2 linked regions of the Caenorhabditis elegans genome follow. The protein of the gene in region 1 interacts with the protein of each later gene in a pairwise test. Each region holds a gene or a part of one and is shown on either strand. Other genes may lie near its edges.

Region 1 (3,753 bases):
GGCGCGCAGAAAGACGACGAGAGCAAAAACTGGGAAGACGACGAAATGAGTATTAAGTCAGAAGTCAGAGTCAGAGTATTTTATTCAGAGTTCAAGAGCAATTGAGAGTTGGTTGGTTGGTTGGTTGTCTCAAACATTTTACACTGTGATGGAACGGCGACAACCTACAATTAGAAGTTAGCGACTATTAAACAGAAAATTGCTCCGATTTTCAGATATCATCGGTATATTAAAATAGAATTACCCGTGGCACGTCATTATCATCTGTAAGAGTGGATGTCTCATTTGAACCAAGACCAGGATTGTCAATGAATTGTTGAAGTTCTTCGGCAAGTTTTTGGTTTTTCGGCGACTTCTGGAAAGAAAACCAAAATATATGAAACTCTACTAAACTTTTAACCGAAATTATGTGATTTAAGTTGGAAATTTAAAGGGTTTTGAAGGGAAACTATACTATGCCCTGTAAAGATTCGTAAGTTTATGCATTAGTGTGTATAAAAGAAAATGAGAAGTTTGCAAAGCTATGTGGAGCAGGAAAGTAGAAATAGCTGATAATGAGAAACTTGTTCGCATTAACAATATGAGATCAACGAAGAAAACGAACAACTTCCGAAGAAAAAAGGTGAAAACTAAAAAAACCACTTTACTGCGTTCAAAGTTACATTTTTGTTAAGTTTCTCGCAGCGCCCTGGTGTTAAACAAGCGGCAGATTGAAATTCAGAAAATTTTAGTTAAAAAACAATGAGAAAAGTCCAGTAGATTATCGAAAAACGCATAAAAATTAGTTGAAAAGAGAAAGAAATTTCGTTTTCGAAAACAACAAGTTTTGATTACGGTCATCAAAAGTCCGCAAACACCGCCAGCATACACATTCTGATTTCTACAGTACTCGACGGTGCTTGCTAATTTTATTTTCTTATTTTTCTAAATATTTTCCTTTTTGGCTCAATTTCACCTTACCGAATCCAGATTTCCTCCATTTTTAAAATAAGTTGGGTCCAGAATAATTCCTTCCGAAATAGCTTCGTTGATTGGTTTACGAGTATTCACTGAAAATTCAGTAGTAGTGGAAAAAGAGATTTTTTTGGAAAAACCAACCTGCTGGAGTGACGGTTGCTTTTGGAGCGACAATTTCTCCCTTTTTGACTGAAGGTGACAGACGGTAACCGATCTGAAAAAAATTAGGGTTTTTGATAATAAATAATAAACTTACTTTGATACGTCCGTTGGGTTCAACTGCGGACAAACTGTTTCCATTTTTCACGGTCGGTGCGTGCAACGACGACTTGTCCCGTGGTGGAATTGTCGATGTCCTGTGCCGATGTCCTGTATCTTTTCTCTTTCCTCCAACTGTTCTCTTTAGCAATGTTCTATTGTGGTTATGACGTTCTCTGGAAATAAAACCTGTGAACTTTATTCCTGAAATTCCTATAAACTCACTTTATCTTCTCTTTCTTGACTGTGCAAGCAACGATTAACGTTCCCAACAAGAGGAACAGGGAAATGTCGATGAGAAACATTGAGACTGAACGTTTTCCCATATTTCCACACCCTATATACCCACCAAATGGAAAGAGGAGGGAAGGTTACGTTATAACTATTTATTTTGTATGTAAATTAACTAAACTTTTTTAATGAACTTAATAAACTATCAGACATTTAACCAACACGTAGACTAGAAAATATCTGATTTGCCAGGCTTCGTAGCGGGATGAGGCGTAGAATCCTATAAGAGCAAAGCTTATAATGCCGTTTAAAAATAGTTAAATAAGAACATGCGCATGCGGCGCTCCTATTCCAGTTTTCGCAAAAAGCGTCATTGTTTTTGCCTTCTTTGTAAATCAATGCAGTACTAATGGTCGAGCTTTTTAGAATAATTCCATCGAATGTCTCTCTCTCTCTCTCTCTCTCTCTCTCTCTCTCTCTTTTTTAAAGTTTTAATCGAAAATCATTATCACGGTATTCCGTGACCTGCGCAAATATCTTTACTTGCTCCTCCTTCTGAACGTAAGGAGATCAAAATAATTTTCCAATAATTTCAGAAAAGAAATGAGCGAAGCACTTGAGACCGGTGATCCTTCGCCACCACCTCCAATCGTTTCCGAAAATGGAAAAACATATTATTATCTGAATTCTCAAGAATCACAAGCTCCTAATACACCTTCTCCACAGGAAGTCCCACCTAAAAAAATGACGAATTTGTTTGAAAGTGGACCTTTGGTTTATGAAGATGTTGCAGCCGACATTGAAGCTGTTACCGAGCGTGCTTCTCGGAGGCACTACGAAAATAAAATGGTAGTAAAGAATTCGCGGGAAATGTTTGATAATGTTGTGAGTTTATATTACACTCAAAATGGCCCAAAAAACCCAATCGAAAAACGGTGCCATTAAAAAATGTGTCAAAAATCTTACGGCGGTTCATAATTCCGAAGTGGCCTAGTTTTTCCTAAAATCTCTAATTTTTACAAACTTTTCAGTATTGCAACAATCGGCAATTATTTTTATTTCATTATTCAAATAAAAATAAATTTCCGACCGCTGCGACATGGAAAAGTTTGCAAAATCAGAGATTAGCTCATATAAGATAATTTTAAAGTGTGATGTAGCATTTTAGTGAAATTTTTAAAGTCCCGTAATGAAATTCGGGCTTTTTGGATTATTTCGAGCTTAATAAAGAAACTAAGTTACTCACTCATTCATTAAATGTATTCTACAGAATATCTTACCTGATGGACGATACTATTGCTGCCTTTGTAATCGTCCGTATAAAACACATGCCACATTGACAGCTCATCTGAGAGGATATCATTTGCGAAATGAAAGTTCTTGTGATGAACCAGGCTGTAATTTGTGAGTTATTTCAAAAAATTTAAAATAAAATTGATTATGAAAATTTCAGCTTGTCGTTCACAGATCAAGAAAAGAAGAGACATCGGAGAACACATGATAAAAAGAAAAAAGAAAGAAATTCTCAAGAATCTATGGTGAGGAGACCTTTTTCTTAAAACAAAGATTGCAAGGGTGTCATCGAGAAATTTTTCCGATTTTTAAAAGAAAAATCTGAATATTTTTCGCCTTGTTCGGGGTTTTTTAAAGATTTCCGGAAAGCCACATAATTTAATTTTTCAATTAATTTTTGTTTATGTTGATGAAACAAATGAGATAACATATAAATTTCTTTCGATTTTACAAAAAAATCCAAAAGAAAATTTCCTTTTGCGTTTTTAGAAAAAAAATTCGAAAAACCGGCGCCCTGCCGAGATACAAGTAACATAACATGTTTAATTTTTAAAGGTAATCCATGAAAAAATACAAAAAGCTGTGAGAAGATTGGACTATCCAGGTGAAGATGAGCTTCGGGACCACTTAAACGGTTCAACTGAGGTCCAAGGCACAATTAGGACAATGGTTGGACATTTTTTTCACTTTTAAAAATATATTATAACACAATTTCAGACCAAAAAAGGAAAAATAAGATACGCCTGCCTTAAATGTCCTCATTCAGTCTTCAACGCTTACCATGCAGCTCGGCACGTTGAAATGCATAAGTAATGATGTTATTTATTGAAAAAATTTAAATAATTCGAACAAAATTTCACTCTATTTATAATCTCGAGTGTGATTTTTTTTGTTAAAAAAAGTAAAATTTTTGAATTTTTCGCTCAATTAAAAAAAACCGAAAAATTGTTTCAGTGACTTCCCTAAAAATTGCTTCTACTGTGGTGAGATTCGAAAAGGAACGGTTGATCTTCA
Region 2 (3,753 bases), 4.8 Mb from region 1:
CTTTGGTTTTTGAAAGAGCGACCTTTTTTAAGACTTTGTTTTATTTTTTGTGAAGTCGAAAATCGTACAAAAATTACAAAATGTAAGGAAATTCTGAAATTTTGTAGAATCCCAGAAATAAAAACATAATTTTCGTCCTTTTTTTGGAAATCTGAAAAATGATTATCATTATTAGATAGCAGGAAGAACATCAAAATAAATTTTTTCAAACATAATTTTACGTTTTTTTTTTTCAAAAATTCGGTTTCAGAAATTCCAACATCCTGTACCTCCTGAGTAACCTTCTTCAAAATATCCCTGACGGCATCCCCATCAACAGGAGCATCAGTGAAAATAGTTCCCACAAATGCGTTGGATCCCCAGCATGCGTGTTGCAGAACTTTGCAGCATCCGAGGTCTTCAATCTTGAAGCCCATTTGTTTGTAGGCGTCATTGGTCTCGAAAAGTGTATGATTGGTGTAATCACCCATATACGGGCGGCCGGAAGATGGATCAATGAAATCAGCCCAATAGCCGAAACGATGGAGAGTTGAGCAAATCGCGTTGGCGGACATGATGAATGAGGCGGTGAGCTTTTCACGTTCCTCTTCCATTGCTTCACTCCATGCTTTCATGTCGAATTCTGACTTTTGAGTTAGATTGAACACGGTCACGTTGTTCATCTTTTGAGTCTCCATTTGTGGGAATAGGTATTTCATTTCTGGAAAAAAAAATGATTTTTGAATTTATGAGTTTTAAATTCAAAATAAATTTTAAATTCACTTTTTGAGCTTCACAAATATTGCGATTTGCCGAGTATGACGACCACGGTAAATTTTTTAAAAAGTCGATTTACCAAATTTACCGCACACCCCTGCTAAATATAGTTCTGCAAAGCATTTTTTTTTTCAATTTTTCACTAATATTAACTCGAACGTAATCTCAATTTCCGATTTTTTGAAAGACTAATTTTTTAAAAGTTCATTTTCAGAATTTCTATAAATCCCAGCTTTCCAGCTCACCTTTTTTGAGCAACTTTGGTGCTTCAATAGCGGAAAGTTCAATCTCAACGTCAGCCGCATTTGCCTGAATCTCTTCCATTGCTTCTTCCTTCAATTGAGCCAAATGTGTACGGTCAACTTCGATATTTGTATTGGAGAGCAAATTGATCAAATTGTGCTCCGTATCGTCCATCACACGCTCGATTTTTGAGTTTTCCACTTGTTGGCGGATGCTCAATGGCTGCAAATTTTGAGTTTTTGAAAAAATTTAAAATTAAATTGGAATTATTTTAAATGGGTAAATTTTCGAAAATTCAAATTTTTTACATGAAATTTGATTTTGGAGTAAAAAATCAGATAATTTTGGGTGTCTGTTTGGAAAATCAATTTTCAGAAATTTACCTTGTGAGCAAACGAGACGTCTCCCTGGAACGGGTACTGACTGTCATTTGGGCCGAGAAGCGAGTTTTGGCGAGCTGAAATGTGGAAAAATTGTGAAAATGTCGATCGAAATTTTGAATTTCTTACGAGTTGTGCCCTTTCCGACGAACACGATTGGAATTGGGTCGATTTGGAGCTGAAAATTTGAATTTTATGATTTTCAGCACATAAGCAGCTAAAACGCTTACTTTTTTTCAAAAGAAAAATTGAATTATTCGGTAAATCAAAAAGAAATTAATTTTTCTGAAACAAAAGATTTTTCGATAAAATCTGCAATTTTTCAGCCATTATCCAAACTCTCACCTGCGTTGAAAATGCGGCAACACGTTGGGTAAACGCACGCATTTGGGGACCTTTGGCGGACAACATCCTGCAACAAAACTTGTATTTTAATTTAAAATTTTACTTTTAATTCGAAAGAAATCAATAAGGCAAGAAAAAACGAAGAAAATATTGAAAGACATGTTTGTTGGAAATTGAGTGACAGCTAGAGGGAGAATTACGCAGACGGTTAGAGAACACTGAAATTGGGGAGACCGCCGAGAAAACGAGAAAAGGGAAACCGAAGAACGAGCGCGACGAATCATGTGAACTTTATTATTATTATTATTACTGAGAACACTAGTAATTACTGATCAAATTAGTTGTTATCTAAATTCCTAATTTTTTGTTTCTATTTTTCAACCTTGTGACATATTGATTATATCATCAAAAAGGCGTGTACTTTTAAGAAGTACAGTAATCTTAAAGTGTTTCTTTTTTTTCTTTGACCTAAATTGTTAATTTATTGTGTTTGAGTATTAAACACATAATTCTAAGATTGCGTACTGTGCAACATATTCAACGAGTAAAACATCTCGTTGCAAAAACTACAGTAATTCTTCAAATGACTACTGTAGCGATTGTGTCGATATACGGCCTCGATTTAAAAAACATTTATTTATCGATAGAACATTAAAACTAAGCAAAAAAAGAGATAATAATACGAAAAAACAAAGTAACTCCCACTATTCGCAAATAATTTTTTTTTTCACTATTTGAGCCCGTAAATCGACACTACAGTAGTAATTTAAAGAATTACTATAGTGTTCGAGAATTACTATCTCGTAAGATATTTTGCGCGTTAAATATGTTAGTTAATACGCATTCTCCGAATTTTTCACAAAATAAAAAAGGTTTAAATACATAAAAAACCGAGACAAGAACAACGATTCTTAGAATTCTTCCAAAAGTTCGAAAACTCGAGAAATTTAAAAATTCAAAAAGAAAATAAAATTTAAAAATAATCTTTGAAAAGATTTAAAGCCAAAAAGTTAAAAAAAATCCAAAAATCCAAATTTACTATCATTAAAAAGCCTGAAATAATCTGAAAGTCTTCGAAGTCTTGTTCAAAGCCAACTTTTTTGTTTTGATTTAAAATCTGTTGGGTGAACGTGAGAAGTGCAACAATTCAAGAAAAGAGAGCGAAAAGACAACAAGTGTAACGATGAAAGAAGGGTCACAGTTGTTGCACGTGAAAAAGAATTGTCTAGAGGCGAATAGAAAGTTTTCGGATTTTCAAAGTCCACTTCGGAGTTTTTTTCAGTGGACTTTCGTGATGTTGGAACCCAAGAATGCAATTTTAGGTTCTCGATATTTTTTGAAAATTTTCTAAAAAAGAATAAACACTTTTAGAATTGCAAAAAAGAAATATCGATTTTCGAGCTTTTTTTTCAAAATTTTGAGTTTTCGAACGGTTTTTCTTTAATAAAATTATTTATCGCATATTTTTGAAGTTTTTGAAACCTTCCAGTTAGTAATCGGAAATAAAATTTTCTCTAAATTGTCTCAAAAAGCCAAATTTGAATGGTAGCCAAGAAGTGGGAGGAGCTGGCACTCGGACTTTTTTTTTCAGAAATTAATTATTAAAAATCGAGTTATAAAATTTAGCAAAATATCTGAAACAAGGGGTTTTGGACCACATTTAAAAAAATAATTTTTAAAGTTATAAACAAGATCGCTTCATTTTATGGTGCAAGACAACTATGTATAGAAATTCTATAAAAATCTGGAAATTTTCAAATTTTCAGTAGGAAAATAAAATGGAGTATATATATATATATATTTACATGTCAAATGGTACAAGAATATCTCGGAATAATTTTAGGGGGATTTTGGGGACCCGTGTGCATAATAAATTGAACAAATCAAAGTGAGGAGCTGGTGGGGAAAAACGGGGATTCGGGGGAAATGGTGTGAGTGATGAAAATGGGAAGAAAAACAAGTAAAGCTATATTCACAAAATTAACAGAGACTGAAAATATTATTTTTAGAGGGAAAAGTTGAAAATTTG

The links. Proteins that work in one complex are often made in the same cells at the same time.
Region 2: the proteins of ztf-1 (region 1) and mmad-1 interact in a two-hybrid assay, tested with the Caenorhabditis elegans proteins (one large-scale study listed by BioGRID).

What each region holds. Positions count from the first base shown.
Region 1 is NC_003281.10:8,790,635-8,794,387, reverse strand, and holds the start of ztf-1 (Heterogeneous nuclear ribonucleoprotein C homolog), read left to right. Parts: upstream 1-2,036; 5' UTR 2,037-2,049; coding exon 2,050-2,331; exon of another isoform or gene 2,332-2,561; intron 2,562-2,716; coding exon 2,717-2,850; intron 2,851-2,899; coding exon 2,900-2,984; intron 2,985-3,294; coding exon 3,295-3,408; intron 3,409-3,456; coding exon 3,457-3,548; intron 3,549-3,693; coding exon 3,694-3,753. Other genes in the region: F54F2.14 (uncharacterized protein), read right to left, coding at 2,143-2,182, 2,727-2,809.
Region 2 is NC_003281.10:13,547,215-13,550,967, forward strand, and holds the start of mmad-1 (Methylmalonic aciduria and homocystinuria type D homolog, mitochondrial), read right to left. Parts: upstream 1,792-3,753; 5' UTR 1,791-1,791; coding exon 1,725-1,790; intron 1,558-1,724; coding exon 1,509-1,557; intron 1,457-1,508; coding exon 1,383-1,456; intron 1,222-1,382; coding exon 1,002-1,221; intron 701-1,001; coding exon 270-700; intron 1-269.